Linked DNA regions of Arabidopsis thaliana. The protein of the gene in region 2 interacts with the protein of the main gene of each other region in a pairwise test. Each region holds a gene or a part of one and is shown on either strand. Other genes may lie near its edges. The genes, in order: LTO1 and EDA3.

Region 1 (7,405 bases), on a different chromosome or scaffold from region 2:
AACTGATTCTTGGCAAACAGGTGATGAATGAACTAACTACCTCTTTTTGCTCTAAGCAGTGAGAACACCAGAATGCCCCATACATTTTAGCTCCAATGGAGTTTAGATGTTTTGCTAAAGCAATAGCATAAGGGCTCGATGATGAACTGATCTCTGTTCTAAAATATGGCAGTTCAATGTCACCAGAGCTGGAAGGAGTGAAACAAAAAACGATCGGGATTAAAAGAGACCACCTGATAAGACTCATACATCTTTCGGAAGCTATTTGTTCACTACTCGTTACAAATGACTAAAATTTCTATCGGGACTCCCCAAAGAAAACTATGAACTTTGATTACCGTGAAGGGATTGGTTGAGCAGTACTGTAAGAAGCAGTCAAGGAGGCAACTACTATGATTGCTAAGCATATCTGCAATCCTACAACTTGCTGTATTTCTTGCAACTTCACATCCTACCACATGCATGGAGCACATTATCATAATCCGAAGTTTAGAAGTTATCTTGAGTCAACATCAGGAAAAAAAAAGAAATGGAAATAAAGGGATACCTTTACAGAGAGGAAAAATAGACTAAATGATAAGAAAGCAGACACCAGACAATACAGGCATGATGATCCTGAGAGTTTTGTGCTAAGGATATACAGGAAATATGCACTAGCAGATGCCATTGCAGTCGTGATCCCAAATAACGCGAAACGCCCATTGCTCTTACTGATTCCAAAAGGTAGATTCCCTTCCCCAAGCTCTGCACTTAGAGCGGTTACTACGCCATACATAACAAATCCAATCACTGGAAGAGGAACACCTGGCAAAATGTAAAAAAGGATTTTCATTGAGTTCAACTTACCTGCAATGCAATGTTGGACAAACAACGAAGACAAAGCACTACATAGAGTGGAGTGAAGCATGCTATTTAACTCTAACAATTCTATGCATACTAAGTACCAAAGCTCCTAAATGATATAGCTTCAAGCAAAGATTCACAGAGACTATCACATGCGAGTATTTAATCATGCCTACTATAAAAGAGAGGACAATTAGCTACATAAATCAAACGCTATAATCAATAAAGCGATGGATAATACCGAAAACGACGGCATAATCGCTGTTGAGGACATCACCGCAAGTGCCACCACCAATAGGGCAAAACGCATCGGAGCCAGTGACCTTGAGGTAAGTCAAATACGCAGTGTCTAACATCCCAATACCGCCGATTCCGGTGTACCAGTTGTATGTCGAACTGTTACTAGTAGATACTTCACTTGTAGACGATGAGGAGGAGGAAGACAGCGACGGTGCCGAATCCTCACCGTTTTCCGGCTCAGATGAAGAACATTTAATCGGAATCGCAGGAAATCTCCGATCAGAGACCTAATTCAGAACATCTGACTTCAAATGACCGATCACACACTACTGTCACTGAAGAAAACACATGACAAGAATTTACCTCGAATCGTCTAGGATAAGAAGTTACCGACGGAGGAGAAACCTCACGGAAGCCGAAATGAAACTGACAAGACGACACAGAAACAAACCTCGCCATCATCGTCGTCGAAGAATCGCTATTCCACCATTGTTAACTTCATCATCTTCTCTCCTCCGCTCCACTATCTCAGCCACTTGTTTCAATATTGGGCCTAAACGAGGCCCAAATACGATAATTTGGATCCATAATTAGTTTATCACAATTGGGCCTTACGGTCTTCTTATCCGTCCGAGTCAGCAAGTTATCCTCTTCAACACGACTCACGAGGCACCGAGTTGGACTTATCATGATTCATTATCTACGCATTGTTTACATTTTGGAATCGACTTTGGTACATAATTGAATTTATCCATAGAAATGATAGAGACTCGAAGATCGGACATAAAACTTGCTGACGTGACACCCATACCTTTGTGTCTGTATGTATTATATAAACGCTATAGAACTAAGAGAAGAAGTATCTAAGTAGCATCAAAGCATTCTAAAAGAAGTTTCAAAGAAGAAGTGAAAATGGAAACCACTGCTTTTAACACAACATCACGAATTGGAAACTGGTCATCGGCTATTTCTCCACCTCTACAAACATGTGGATCTTTCAAGTGCCAATTACCAACACGAAGAGGTGTTATTGTAGCTGATCTTCGAAACTCAAACTTCCGATGGTAAGCTAGCAATCAACGACGAGAATCGCCTTCTCTATCTGATTTTAGATTATGAATAAATATTAAATCTGAGTATTAACTTCTTGCTCAAGGAGGAAAGCAACGACAACAAGCAGAGGAAATGTTGCAGCAGAGGCAGTTAAAATTCCTACGTCAGTACCAGTAAGAGTGGCGCGTGAGCTAGCTCAAGCAGGATACCGCTATCTCGACGTGAGGACACCAGACGAATTCAGCATCGGACATCCGACTAGAGCCATCAACGTACCTTACATGTACAGAGTCGGATCAGGTTTTCATCACCGACCTTAAGGTTCCTCTTATGAGAAAGAGTGAAAATGAAAAACAACTTAAAACTAACACCAAGCCAAAACCGTTGCAGGAATGGTTAAGAACCCGAGTTTTCTAAGACAGGTCTCGTCCCACTTCAGGAAACACGATGAAATCATAATCGTAAGTTTCAGTTTTGACATTCAGAGACTAAATAAACCCCTATGAAGACAATCCCTTGTTTCACAAAATCTCTGATGCACGTAATAAACTACTTCTGCAGGGTTGTGAGAGCGGTCAAATGTCATTTATGGCCTCAACTGATCTTCTCACTGCTGTATGTGTGTAATATCACTTCAATTTATATAGCCGTTATCCGGTTTAGGACAAGCGGGTTTAATGTCGCCACATGTACAGGGCTTCACGGCGATCACAGACATTGCTGGAGGATACGTCGCTTGGACAGAGAATGAGCTGCCGGTAGAAGAGTGAAAACAATCATAGCCATATCACCTCCTGTAATTATCAATAAATTCTGTAGATGTTCTCAACGCAAGTATCAATCATCATTATTATTCTCTAAAACATAGTTTAACTGTCAAATCTATATTGGGTGAAAGCTTTACCGAACTTCGAACACCACAAAGTTTACGGACCAATTAAGGACGGGGATGCATGCCTACACACGTTTAGTTTTCGCCGTTTTAAAATTTTAATACTTAAACTAATTTTTAAATGATAATAGTGAAATTAACATTATTTTAGTTAAAAATTATTAATTACTTTCTTAAAATTTAAGTTTTAAATTGGTTTTAAATTATTATTCTTTAAGTTTAAGTGTTAAATTTATAAAATGATAGAAAAACATATTTATACATGGACAAGATCAAACCGAAAGGAACCGAAACTAATATTATGAAAACTAATATCAATCTCAACACAGGTGTTTCTGTATCTGAATCGTTTACGATCAGTTAATATGATTACTTGCTTTGATTAACAAAGAAATCCGTAGCCGCTCTTAAGAATGGCTTCAAAAGAATGGCTTTCACTTTATTGAGTTGCAATCCAAATCAATCTCTGCAGTGATAATTGTATCAAAAGGAGATTGTTTTTTAAGAAAATTATACATGGACAAAAAGAGTGAGGCTCTAAGAAACTGTACAACGAAAAAACGAGAAGTGAGTAGAGCTCTATCAAACCGATCAAACCAAATTTTTCAGCGCACCCGAGAGAGTCAACGATGGCCTTTTTTTAGGCCTGAAAAGTAACCACCATGTTTATCCTTGTGGCGCTCATCATCTCCAACCTGGTGGTTTCAAAACATATTAATGCTAAGAATCGTGTTGGTTAGAGAGAGAGATGCAATGATAAATCAATTACCTCGCGGATTAGTTGGTTAAGCATTTCTATGATTTCTGCAAAATTGGGTCTTAGAGCTGGGTCTTGCTGCCAGCATTTCTCAAGAAGTTCAGTCAGTTTTGGGTGTGTTTCCTTTGGAATTTTTGGTCTAAGTCCCTGTAAATTAATTACAAGTCATTGTGTTGAAGGCCGTTAATCAAAGCACGAGAAAAATAACTATAAAGTCCTATAGACATGATACCTTTTGGACAACGCCAACAGCAGCTTGCAGTGGAGTCAAGTAAGAATATGGGAGCTGTTTTCATTCATTATACACCAGTAAGAAAAAAAAGTGTGTTAAACACATGAGATTTACTGAGTTTAGCAACTTTCGACTAAAATCCAGAGAGAGAAAACTAGGAGTCTTACTTCCCCAGTCAAAAGTTCCCACAGCACAATCGCGTAGCTGAAGACATCTGCCCTGTGATCATAAGGTTTGTGCTCAATGACCTGGGTTCACAGAGTCTAGTGTCAAAAGCATGGAAAGTCAAAAAAAAGAACAAGACAAAGAAGTAATACCTCTGGAGCCATCCATCGGTATGTCCCTGTTTCCGCTGTCATAACCCCTGACTCAGTCTGCACTCTGGCAACACCAAAATCGGCAACTTTGACAACCTGTCCAAAATTATGTAGAAATTAAAGACATGTACCTCTGTTCTAAGAAGATTAAAAGAATTTTGTGGAGACGGAAAGAGGAAATTAAGTTTTTTGTAGAATTTTAAAGGTTTACAAGCTGAAAAGACTACATGATCAGTGGCCAAAGATTGAGACTTACTTCATGTTCGTCCATAAGAAGATTAGCAGTCTTAAGGTCTCTATGAATAATATTGTTTTGATGCAGATAATTCATTCCTTTCGAGACGTCGAGTGCCACTTTGAGCAAAGATTGAATTTTAAAAACCCCTTTGTGTTTGTGAAGGAAATCATAAATGCTCCCCCGAGTCATGAACTCTGATACAAAAGGATAAAATCATCCGACCATGAATACATGTAAAGGCCAAAACTAGGAAATGAAATGTTACGGTATTTACTAAACAATACTCTATAGAACCTCAATGTCCTGCTGAAACAACTTTCTCACCACGCTTGAAGATACAAAACCAACAAAAAAAACGATCTAGATGGAACCAGTCTCCTATTCATAATCTACTGACAACTTACCTGTCACAATGCAGAGGTTTGGTGATCGTGTACATGCACCAATGAACTGGACAACATTTTTATGCCGAACTTTCCTACAAATAGGGAAGTATCAGTAGTGGATGTTTCTGAATATTAACTTTGTTCAATGGACACTGGTTGTTAGAAAATGAGGGAAACTCATGCATGTTTCTACGTATACACCATGAAATGGAATTTTTGGAGATTTATTAGAATACATATACTATAAGAGTACGAGTTGCAATTAGAATCAAATTGCAGCACACCTCATTATATATACTTCCTGAGAAAACTCTCGTAGCATTTCCGCATTAACACGCTCAGGCTTGAGAATTTTGATAGCTACTTCCTGACTACAATAGGTTCCTCTAAATCTGCATAGCCATTAAGAATATATAGCTGTTAATTTCCTCATATAGTATTAAAAACAAGATTTTTGAATATGAAAACTCACAGTTCCCCGTATGATCCACATGCCACCTTTTTTTCAATTTTGAGCTGCTTCATGTCAATTTCCCACTCATCAGTTCCATCCGTAGGTATTTCAACACACGCAGGTAGCAGCTCGTTGGTTGATTTGTCATGCTCAAAGAAAGTGATAGATTTCTGTTTTGAACAAGGTTGATCCTGCAGAGCAGCCAGTGTGGAATATGGAGACATGACGACTATCAAAATTGATTCAAAACATAGCAAAAAAAACATCAGTACAGTGGTGCATTCAGTTTCGGAGTGAGCTAATTCTAAACCATTACTTGCACTTTCGGAATTTAAATTATGAATGTGGCATGGAGTCTAATATAAGGAATCTCATGAAGATAAGGAATGCTCATGACAATAGACTAACAAAAGATACCTTAAACTTTCTTATCTCCTTCTTCAATGCATCTTTTAAACCTTCTGTTTCCTGTATTTCAAAAGTGTATAAAGTTGCAACCAGTTTAGATGGCAGGGGCAGAAAGGTCATCAATGGTCAATATCTTTCGAAGTCATTTACTTATTACATAAGTCACAAGTCATTTACTCAATGGTCAAAATCTTTCAAAGTCGTTTACTTAATCCATCAGTCACAAGTAACATGATGGTTCTGAAAGATGTTGTGAACCATACAGAAAACTGAAACTATACCTCCTGCGACCAGCCATCAACAACAAATACATCGAGAGAGAAACCATCGGCGGTAGAGAAAGCATGAGCCTCTTGAATATTCAATCCAAGTTCACCAAGCATGGAAGTTAGCTGGAAAGAAAACAAACCGATTCTCAGTCAGATAATGGCTTAATAGAAACATAACCACCCATTCTCTACATGACTGTATCTAATGGATCCTTAAAAGTAGAGAGGGAATCCTATACATCACTCTACTCAAACGAAGAGAAAAAGCAATTGTAAAAGAACACAAAGTCACATGTTTCCAATATCAGAGCTGACATAAAAAGAAATGGAAGAAGCAACATCACCAACCTGACTAAGGAGTTTCGGCCTGTCGATTGTAGAAAAGGTGATTTCGTGCATCGGTCTATAAGATAGACAACAAAGGATAATATCACCACACATGGTTGTAAAATTAAATCAAATAATCCTGCAAAACAGACGATACCATGCTACAAAGAACGCCTCTTCAAGTATATGCAGACAAGAAGACTCAAGTAAGTTAAGTGTCAAAAGTATATATCTCACCGAGAATTAGGCAACTGTGCATTGACAGCACTATCATCGTCTTGAGCATGATCTTTGTAAGCTTGAGTAAGAGCTTCGAAATTCGGAGAAGAACCAAAAGTTGGAGGTGCAAGAGACCTCGAGTTATAGGAGCTTTGAGCATCTTCATTGACCGCAGGATCCGAAGGATCAACGTCACCAGAATTTCCATTCAATGTGGGAGAAACCTGTAAGAAAAGTGGAAGTATGAAGAAGCAAGCAAGCAAGATTAAAAAGTGGTGAAGATGGTTAAATGATCACACCTGCACACAACGAACTTCGAAAACAGGTCTAGTAGCAGGATCTTCAGCCAATTTCAACAATCTCTGATGAGTAAGTACATCTTCTGCTCTCTCAACATTTACATCCAAAGCATATCTATACACAAAATCCATTTCAGCAGGAAGTCAAATTTGAAAACATTTATTATCATAGGATCCAAAAAGATTACCGAGCAGGAAGACGATTGAAGTGAAGCCAGAGGAGATCATCAAAACCAGGGAAATTAGCTTCTTCGTAATTGGATTCCTGGATTCGTTGAAGAACCTCACCGTACACCTCCAGTTTCATACGGTGCTGTCTAGGGCTTTCTTTCGTTATTGAAGCTACCACGGCTCTGCTTCCGCAACTCTCCTCCGTCTCCTCTTTGATCGCCATCGCAAAACAGCAGATCAGAATTGAAAAACTCTCTCAAGTAAAACCAGAATTCAACAGTAGGAGTGATCTCTTCTTCG
Region 2 (7,405 bases):
CAACCTAGGTCTTGTTTGATACCCCGGGTCCATGATATTTTTCTTACACAGCTTATGATCATCTTCATCTACAGGCCACTGAGGCTCTTGACCCGAACCATGGCCAAGTGGAGTATTGGAACCATAAGAATGAGAAGGATTCGCTGGAAATGAAAGATTGCTTCATGTCAAATTCTTCCCAGAGCTTAAGCAAAGCAAGACTTTTTGGGGTTGATTTGAATTGAATTCTTGAAGAGGAACACTCGTCAAGAATGCCAGAGACAATGTTGTTAGACAGGAACTCAACAATTTTTCTTTACCCTGATGATTTTTCTTAGAATTGTTTCAGTACATTGTTTGTCTCATCAGGCTCTGATGACCAAACTGTAATTTGTTGCTACCATTTTCCAAAATACTCATAAGTTGCATGATGTTTGACTTTGAAAGTTGCATGATGTAACAAATTCTAAAACACCATTTTCCAAATCCTTTGCGTAAGTTTTCACTTTGTTTTTGTCTACTCAAATTAAAATAGAATAGAGAAGCAATAAATTTTTAAAAAACTAGGAAGGACACAATTTTCTAAAGATTAGAAAACCTACGATTTAAAACTCTCTTTTCCCTCAAGTTTGTATAAATTAGTTTCCAATCTCTCTAAACTTTATGAACTATATAAAAAAACAATATTAATTAGAATTAAATAAAACTTTTAAAACAACACATGCAACTTGAGCCGTTCTCAAATACAATGTTGACATCCTCAAATCGATCGGTCCTTTATTTCTTAGATCAACATTGTGTTACATTTACACAAACACAAGTACACAACATATCTTTATTAAAATTTTCATTAAAAACCAGTATTATATCATCGAGTACACATGATGATTATCGAAATTACCATGAGATTATTCCAACGGGATAACTAACATTATAACGGCGCTAACGTATACGTTCACAGAGGTGGCGGTGTGAGGAATGGCAGGGGAGGAAACGTAAAGCCAGGGAAACCAGGAAGGGATGGCGCCGGAGGTGATGTCGGAAACGGAAACGGAAATGGTAAACGTGGGATATTTCCAGGGAACGGAGAAGGTACAAACGGCGGAAAAAGTGACGGTAACGGAGGAACACCGCCAAATGGCAAGCCCGGTGGAAACGGTAGGTTGTTAGCTTCGTCGGTAGTGGTGGTGACTACTTCATCACTCGGCTTCTGATCAGTAAGACGACGAGCGACGGTTGTTTCCGGCATGAGGTGGAAGATCAAGATTAGGGTTAGGGCTACACTGATGAGTGATGAAGAAGCCATAATTTGTTTTGTATTTTTTGCTTATATGCTTTTGTGTCTGTTGTCTAGTGACTATCTAGTGTTAGTATATATAGGCCTATATTTCCATTAATTTATTTTTTCACACCCAACGTACTTCTTATTGATTTACAAACACAATTAATTGGTGCCAATAGTTGTATAACATCGAATGTACCGAACTCGAAAATAAGTAAACTGATTTAACAAATGCATGTGTATCGCATGTTGGCTGTTGCATAATTTCCAATATAACATTGGTACATTTAACATGAAAATTAGTTGAAAAATATCAAAAAGAGAAACATGAAAACTGACTAGTTAAATACTAATAAATATAGAGGCATGCACATGAACATGTGTCTCTCATGCAGCTTGGTTAGAGCTCATTGAATTCGACTAATGATTTCGAAACCAGCTGTATGTTTACATCTTTACATATTCTTCTTAACCTTCACATTTCACTATATCCTCTTTATTTGTTATGCTTACCGGTATTAGTCCAACTAGACTGATTGCTTTTTAGTATGAAATGATGTTGATGTAAGGAATATTATGGTTCCAGGAAATATGAAATAGTTGTGTGATTGAGTAGATGTGTGTGTAGTTAGGTCTAAAGAGAATAATCAAAGTGTGTGATTCTATATGCCTAAATGCATAGGTGAGTGAGTGAGTATCTTAGTCGAAACTGATTCGTCTAGTCTGTATGGGGAAGAAGGAAAGTTTTATGTTTATAGAATTTACAACACAAACCTAGCAGCATTATAAAAACATGTTGAATTCGATACATTCTTCTATAGCTTTCCATGCATCCTCAATGTGTAAGTTTTCATCCGCTTCTATCATCATGTCTACTGGCTCTGTGCTTAAAATCATATTTGCAGTAACAATCTGCAACCATTTCAAGAGATGGAAAGATAAGAGAGAGGAACACGCTTGTCCTCACCAAGCTTTTAATTCGTGAACCCAATAATCTCAAATGTGAAGTTGTAGTAAAAAGGACCTATACCTACCTTCTCATGAATCAGGAAGAAGCCGACCATTGTACATCTTTTCGAGTAGCTCACGAGCACCAGGCCTTCTAAGAAGGCCTTTGTTGTTTGGTAAACCTGTACCTAAACAGACCGGACAAACAAGCTTACCTCGACCTGTTTGCAATAGAAGCCACCAACTAATCAGGAAATTTCAAGTGTTACGAAACCAAACAAGACTAAAGAGATATCGGGAAGGAAACAAACCGTAACAGTTTGGACATTCCGTAAACTCATATACATCTTTCGCACGTTTTCGGTTGAGAGCTTTCCATTTTCCTGTACCACCACACATATCACCTATATCATAACAAAATCCAATTAAACCAAATGGGTATCAGTAGTAAGCTCATGAGGCATTTTGCATCATATCAAATGGAAACAGAGAATCATTACGAACTTTTCACATAGGAAGGTGTCTACGAAAACTATTATCAAGAGTTCCATATGTTTGTTGTTAAAAGTCACAATCAGGTCTTATATCTTTCAATCTTAAGCTATAAGACCCTACAGATTCTAAAGAAACACAAGGCAAATATACTATACAATATACGTTTAAGGATATGTTTCTATATCAGAGTTCCAGATAAGAAACTAAAACAAAAGAACTTGTCACTCACAAAGAACAGCACCACTGCCCTGGCAGTTACGACATGAACCTCCTGGTTTCTTGTCTAAAGCGGCTGCGCTTTGTACAGAGACAAAGGTATAAGAATTGCTAATTAAAGCTGCAGATGCGCACACACATGCCGTCATCCACTGTCTCCGTGACACTGATTTCTGATCTCCCTGCAGCCAAGAACACAAGCCACATAAGTTGACAGCAGAAATTAAGACTAAGAACTAATGAAAGCAGTTGCATAGATAGCTATACACTGAGAACTACAACTAGATCATTGAAGAGTAACAAAGACATACTAGTGTTGATGTACCAATTTTTGTAGCAGAAGAACTAAAGACTAAGACTTTAAAAAATTTCTTAGCATAGCTACTTAACTAGAGAACATAACCAATCAACTAGCTGATTTCAAGGTAAACTATTAGTAGTCAAAACGATCAATTAGAAACCTTTTGCAGCTGATACAAATGCTTGGAATAAGAAAAAAGATACGGACTTTAACACACAGAACCAACAAGAATGTAAGGCATCTTGTATTATTAACCTGGGCTTTGTGGGTAGTCTCTGAGGAAGAATCCGAATCGTTGGAGTCGAAGCTCTGATTCTCCGGGCATGATTTCGCAAGAACACGAACTCGATTCCGGTTTGGTGCAGCTAACAGAAACGATGCGGGTAAGAAAGAGGATAATATAAACAATGTCGGAAAGGAACAGATAGAGAGATAGAGATGTTACATAGAAACGGAGAAGCAGGCGAAGGGAGTGCGAAGAGATGAGATGATGATGCCGCCATTTTTTTCAGTCTGCGGTCATAATTTTACTGGCGAACCAGAGGACCCGAACCATCTATAGGATGTTTCTGATATTTACGTTTTGGTACACATAGTTTGATTAGTTTATTAGATTGGTACATTTTCTCTTCAATTTCAATTTTTGATCCATTATAACTTGACCTCTAAATGTAGTAGAGTAAGTCTTAAAAGGCCGCTAGCCTGTTAGGCCTGCTCCAAGACGGCCCCGAAAAGACTTAAAAAGGGTTAGGCTTTGACTTTGATTATGACTTTTTCATGATGAATTATTCTCTCACATTTTTAATACAAAGAACATGTGCTTGTTCAGGTTAGTGGTGTTTTATTAGTCTTCTGACTTGTGGTGATCTTTGTACGATTCAAATTTTATGATATATGAAATTAGTTTAATCAATGAATGTATATTTGATAAACAAATATATAGTATGCAGGAGGTCTTGAGTTCAACTCTCAATGAAAGCAATTTCTCTTCTTTTTTTTCTAACATTAAATTCAAAAAAGATAAACAAATCTATACAACTGAGGAATAAATGGTCTCGAGATCTAGTAAAGTCAATGTGCATGGAACTGTCGGTTGCTTTAATTTTCTTGATCAAGATGTAGTCATGTTTTTGTTTTTAAGAAGACGTAGTAATGTTATGAAGTCAACATAGTTTATAGCCAATTATTTTTATTACTATATACAAAAAGGTCTACTCTTTATAACTCTATTCGAAATTTTTCTAATTATAACTAGCAAATTATCGAACTATCTAAAAATCATTTACAAATATTACAACCAAAAACAATAGATTTTGTTTTGCTTATCATTCATTATACTAATATTTTCCGTAAATTTTTGTTGTACTATAATATGTTGGTCAAGAGGTAGTCAAGTTTTGGCCATAAAGTAAAAGCCACGTAGAGACTTTTGCCGACATGTGCAGCAGAGAGTTCGTCGGTACGCACAGGTGCCGGAGCTCCCTCGTTCCAATCACCGCGTCCCTTATAATACTTGTTGCAATTTCATTCGTTACTTGTGTCTAAAAATCTCAATAAAGTAATCATTTAATTCAACTTTATAGCTCTTCTCTTGTCTCGTGTCTCGTGTTCCCTTCGCTCGCTTTCACCGTCAAGACCACTCTCTTTACTTTCCTCCTTTGTACGTAAGTCGTTCTAACCTTTTCCACTTAGAATTGAGATCGAATCTTTCTTACTATAGAAGAGAGATTCTTGGTCAAGTCCAGATTATACAACATTTTTGCTTTCTACAGTTTTCTTCTGTTTCCTCATGTACAGGCTGAACTTTGGCCTTTTTGTTGTTGTGAAATTCTGTGTCGGTGTGAATTCTGCATTTTCATTTTTATTTGAAAGACCTACATGTTCCCACCCAAACTGGAGTTACTGAGGTTTTTGCAGGTGCGAGTTTTCTAAATATTTCGAGTTGTTAATCTCTTACAGCTGAAACTGGACTACGCCGTGTACTTTCAGAATCAAAATGCTGAATTTAGGCAGAGCTAGAACCGGGAGGCAAAACAGATCTATGTCTTTTGAAGGTACACACAGGAATATCTTTTAGACTTTTATGATAAAACCTGATTTTTCTACTGTTTTTTTTTATTTGTCTGAAATATTTTGCTTACTTGTTTAGAAGTGGTTGGTAAGTTGATAGAGATTTTAGATTTTCTGGGGGCTTATTAGTTAGCTCCAAAGTCATAAGCTTTTCTTGTGTTTCTTATTTGGATTCAAAATTTCACACATGTTGATGATTTTTGGAGTGTAGGATTGGATTTTGCAGACCCAAAGAAGAACAACAATTACATGGGGAAGATTGTTTTGGTCATGACACTTACAGCAATGTGCATTCTCTTGCTCAACCAATCCCCAACCTTCAATACCCCAAGCGTGGTATTACTTCTTATATGTACTTAACTTGATATTGATACAGTGTCTCATTTTTGTAGTAGTAATGTTTTCTTCATCTTTCAGTTTTCTCGAAGTGAACCAGGAGTTACACATGTTCTAGTCACTGGTGGTGCAGGGTATATCGGGTCACATGCAGCTTTACGCCTTCTAAAAGATTCATACCGTGTCACCATTGTGGTATACATACATCTCCATTGCCTTACATAGATTCATGCTTCTCGTGTTGTATCTAAGTAAAGAAGTAAATCTTTTCATGTTTTGGCAGGACAATCTATCTCGAGGGAACCTCGGTGCAGTCAAGATCTTGCAACAACTGTTTCCGGAACCTGGAAAGCTTCAATTCATTTATGCTGATCTTGGAGATGCAAATGCTGTATGATCCTTCATTGTGATTTTAGATATAAGACCACCATAAACACACAGACAAGCTTTTTTGTGTGTGTTTTCTTGATAAGAAATTCTTTCAGGTTAACAAAATATTTTCTGAAAACGCATTTGACGCTGTGATGCATTTTGCTGCTGTTGCTTATGTTGGAGAAAGCACACAGTTTCCTCTCAAGTGAGTATTTTTGTTCCTTCTCAAAATGATTTAACCTTTGCTGTAAGATTGATGTAAATAATATTTTGTGTTCTGTCATTTGCAAGTATTATCACAATATCACATCGAACACATTGGTAGTTTTAGAGACAATGGCTGCTCATGGTGTGAAGACTTTGATATATTCAAGCACATGTGCTACTTATGGAGAGCCTGAGAAAATGCCAATAACAGAGGAAACTCCACAGGTTCCAATCAATCCATATGGAAAGGCTAAAAAGATGGCAGAAGATATCATCTTGGATTTCTCCAAGAATTCTATTATGGCAGTTATGATCCTAAGGTTGTTAGTTAATTCTGTTATGTGTGTGTGTGTGTGACCTCTGTGTTTGTTTTCTCTTGCCCTGAAGTTGAGTTCATTCTGTCTTCAAATTGGTTTTCTTCAGATATTTCAATGTGATTGGGTCTGATCCTGAGGGTAGACTAGGTGAAGCTCCAAGACCTGAACTCAGTGAGCATGGACGGATCTCTGGTGCTTGCTTTGATGCTGCACGAGGCATCATTCCCGGGCTGCAGGTATTTACCAGGCTCTTTTTTGTGCGTAATCACCACATATAATCTCTGTTAAAAGTTTATTTGGTTTTTATCTGCAGATTAAAGGAACAGACTACAAGACTGTTGATGGGACTTGTGTACGTGATTACATTGATGTCACCGACTTGGTTGATGCTCATGTTAAAGCTCTTGAAAAGGCGAAACCCCGCAAAGTTGGTATCTTCAATGTTGGTACCGGGAAAGGTATAAAATTAGATGTTTGGCAAAGATTCTAGGATAGTGAAGTGAATGGATTTCAGAGAATGTGGTATTAATTGTTGTGCAAGCAGGTAGCTCGGTGAAGGAGTTTGTGGAAGCGTGCAAAAAGGCGACCGGCGTTGATATAAAAGTCGATTACTTGGAAAGACGGGCAGGAGATTACGCAGAGGTTTACAGCGATCCAAGAAAAATCAAAGAAGAGCTGAATTGGACAGCTAAGCACACCAATCTTCAAGAAAGTTTAAAGATGGCATGGAGATGGCAAAAGCTTCATCGCAGTGGCTATGGATCTTCTTCCTTGGTTTCTGCATACTGACCATTATGCATTAGGTATGTGAGCATTGCCCTTCAAGGACTCCTTCATTAGAGTCTTGATTCTAGATGGTAGTGAAGGTAGTAGAAGAAGATG

Evidence for each region.
Region 1: the proteins of EDA3 (region 2) and LTO1 interact in a two-hybrid assay, tested with the Arabidopsis thaliana proteins (one study listed by BioGRID).

Annotation. Positions count from the first base shown.
Region 1 is NC_003075.7:16,943,078-16,950,482, forward strand, and holds the start of LTO1 (NAD(P)H dehydrogenase (quinone)s), read right to left. Parts: upstream 1,601-7,405; 5' UTR 1,546-1,600; coding exon 1,447-1,545; intron 1,371-1,446; coding exon 1,085-1,370; intron 805-1,084; coding exon 548-804; intron 452-547; coding exon 339-451; intron 189-338; coding exon 41-188; intron 1-40. Other genes in the region: SEN1 (Rhodanese/Cell cycle control phosphatase superfamily protein), read left to right, coding at 1,996-2,147, 2,240-2,436, 2,527-2,597, 2,698-2,751, 2,832-2,906; STY17 (ACT-like protein tyrosine kinase family protein), read right to left, coding at 3,652-3,723, 3,798-3,932, 4,018-4,071, 4,185-4,265, 4,335-4,430, 4,591-4,766, 4,977-5,050, 5,243-5,350 and 7 more. UniProt on the Arabidopsis thaliana protein: Thiol-disulfide oxidoreductase catalyzing disulfide bond formation of chloroplast proteins and involved in redox regulation and photosynthetic electron transport.
Region 2 is NC_003071.7:14,704,699-14,712,103, reverse strand, and holds EDA3 (DnaJ/Hsp40 cysteine-rich domain superfamily protein), read right to left. Parts: upstream 3,862-7,405; 5' UTR 3,725-3,861; coding exon 3,667-3,724; intron 3,587-3,666; coding exon 3,477-3,586; intron 3,103-3,476; coding exon 2,934-3,102; intron 2,614-2,933; coding exon 2,521-2,613; intron 2,431-2,520; coding exon 2,300-2,430; 3' UTR 2,296-2,299; exon of another isoform or gene 2,292-2,295; intron 2,174-2,291; 3' UTR 1,837-2,173; downstream 1-1,836. Other genes in the region: MEE27 (Transcription factor jumonji (jmj) family protein / zinc finger (C5HC2 type) family protein), read left to right, coding at 75-224; MEE26 (hydroxyproline-rich glycoprotein family protein), read right to left, coding at 935-1,285; MEE25 (NAD(P)-binding Rossmann-fold superfamily protein), read left to right, coding at 6,336-6,526, 6,630-6,759, 6,837-6,981, 7,068-7,312. UniProt on the Arabidopsis thaliana protein: Involved in female gametophyte development. Required for embryo sac development. Nuclear genome-encoded factor required for the accumulation of photosystem I (PSI) during plant development. Required for light acclimation and chloroplast development.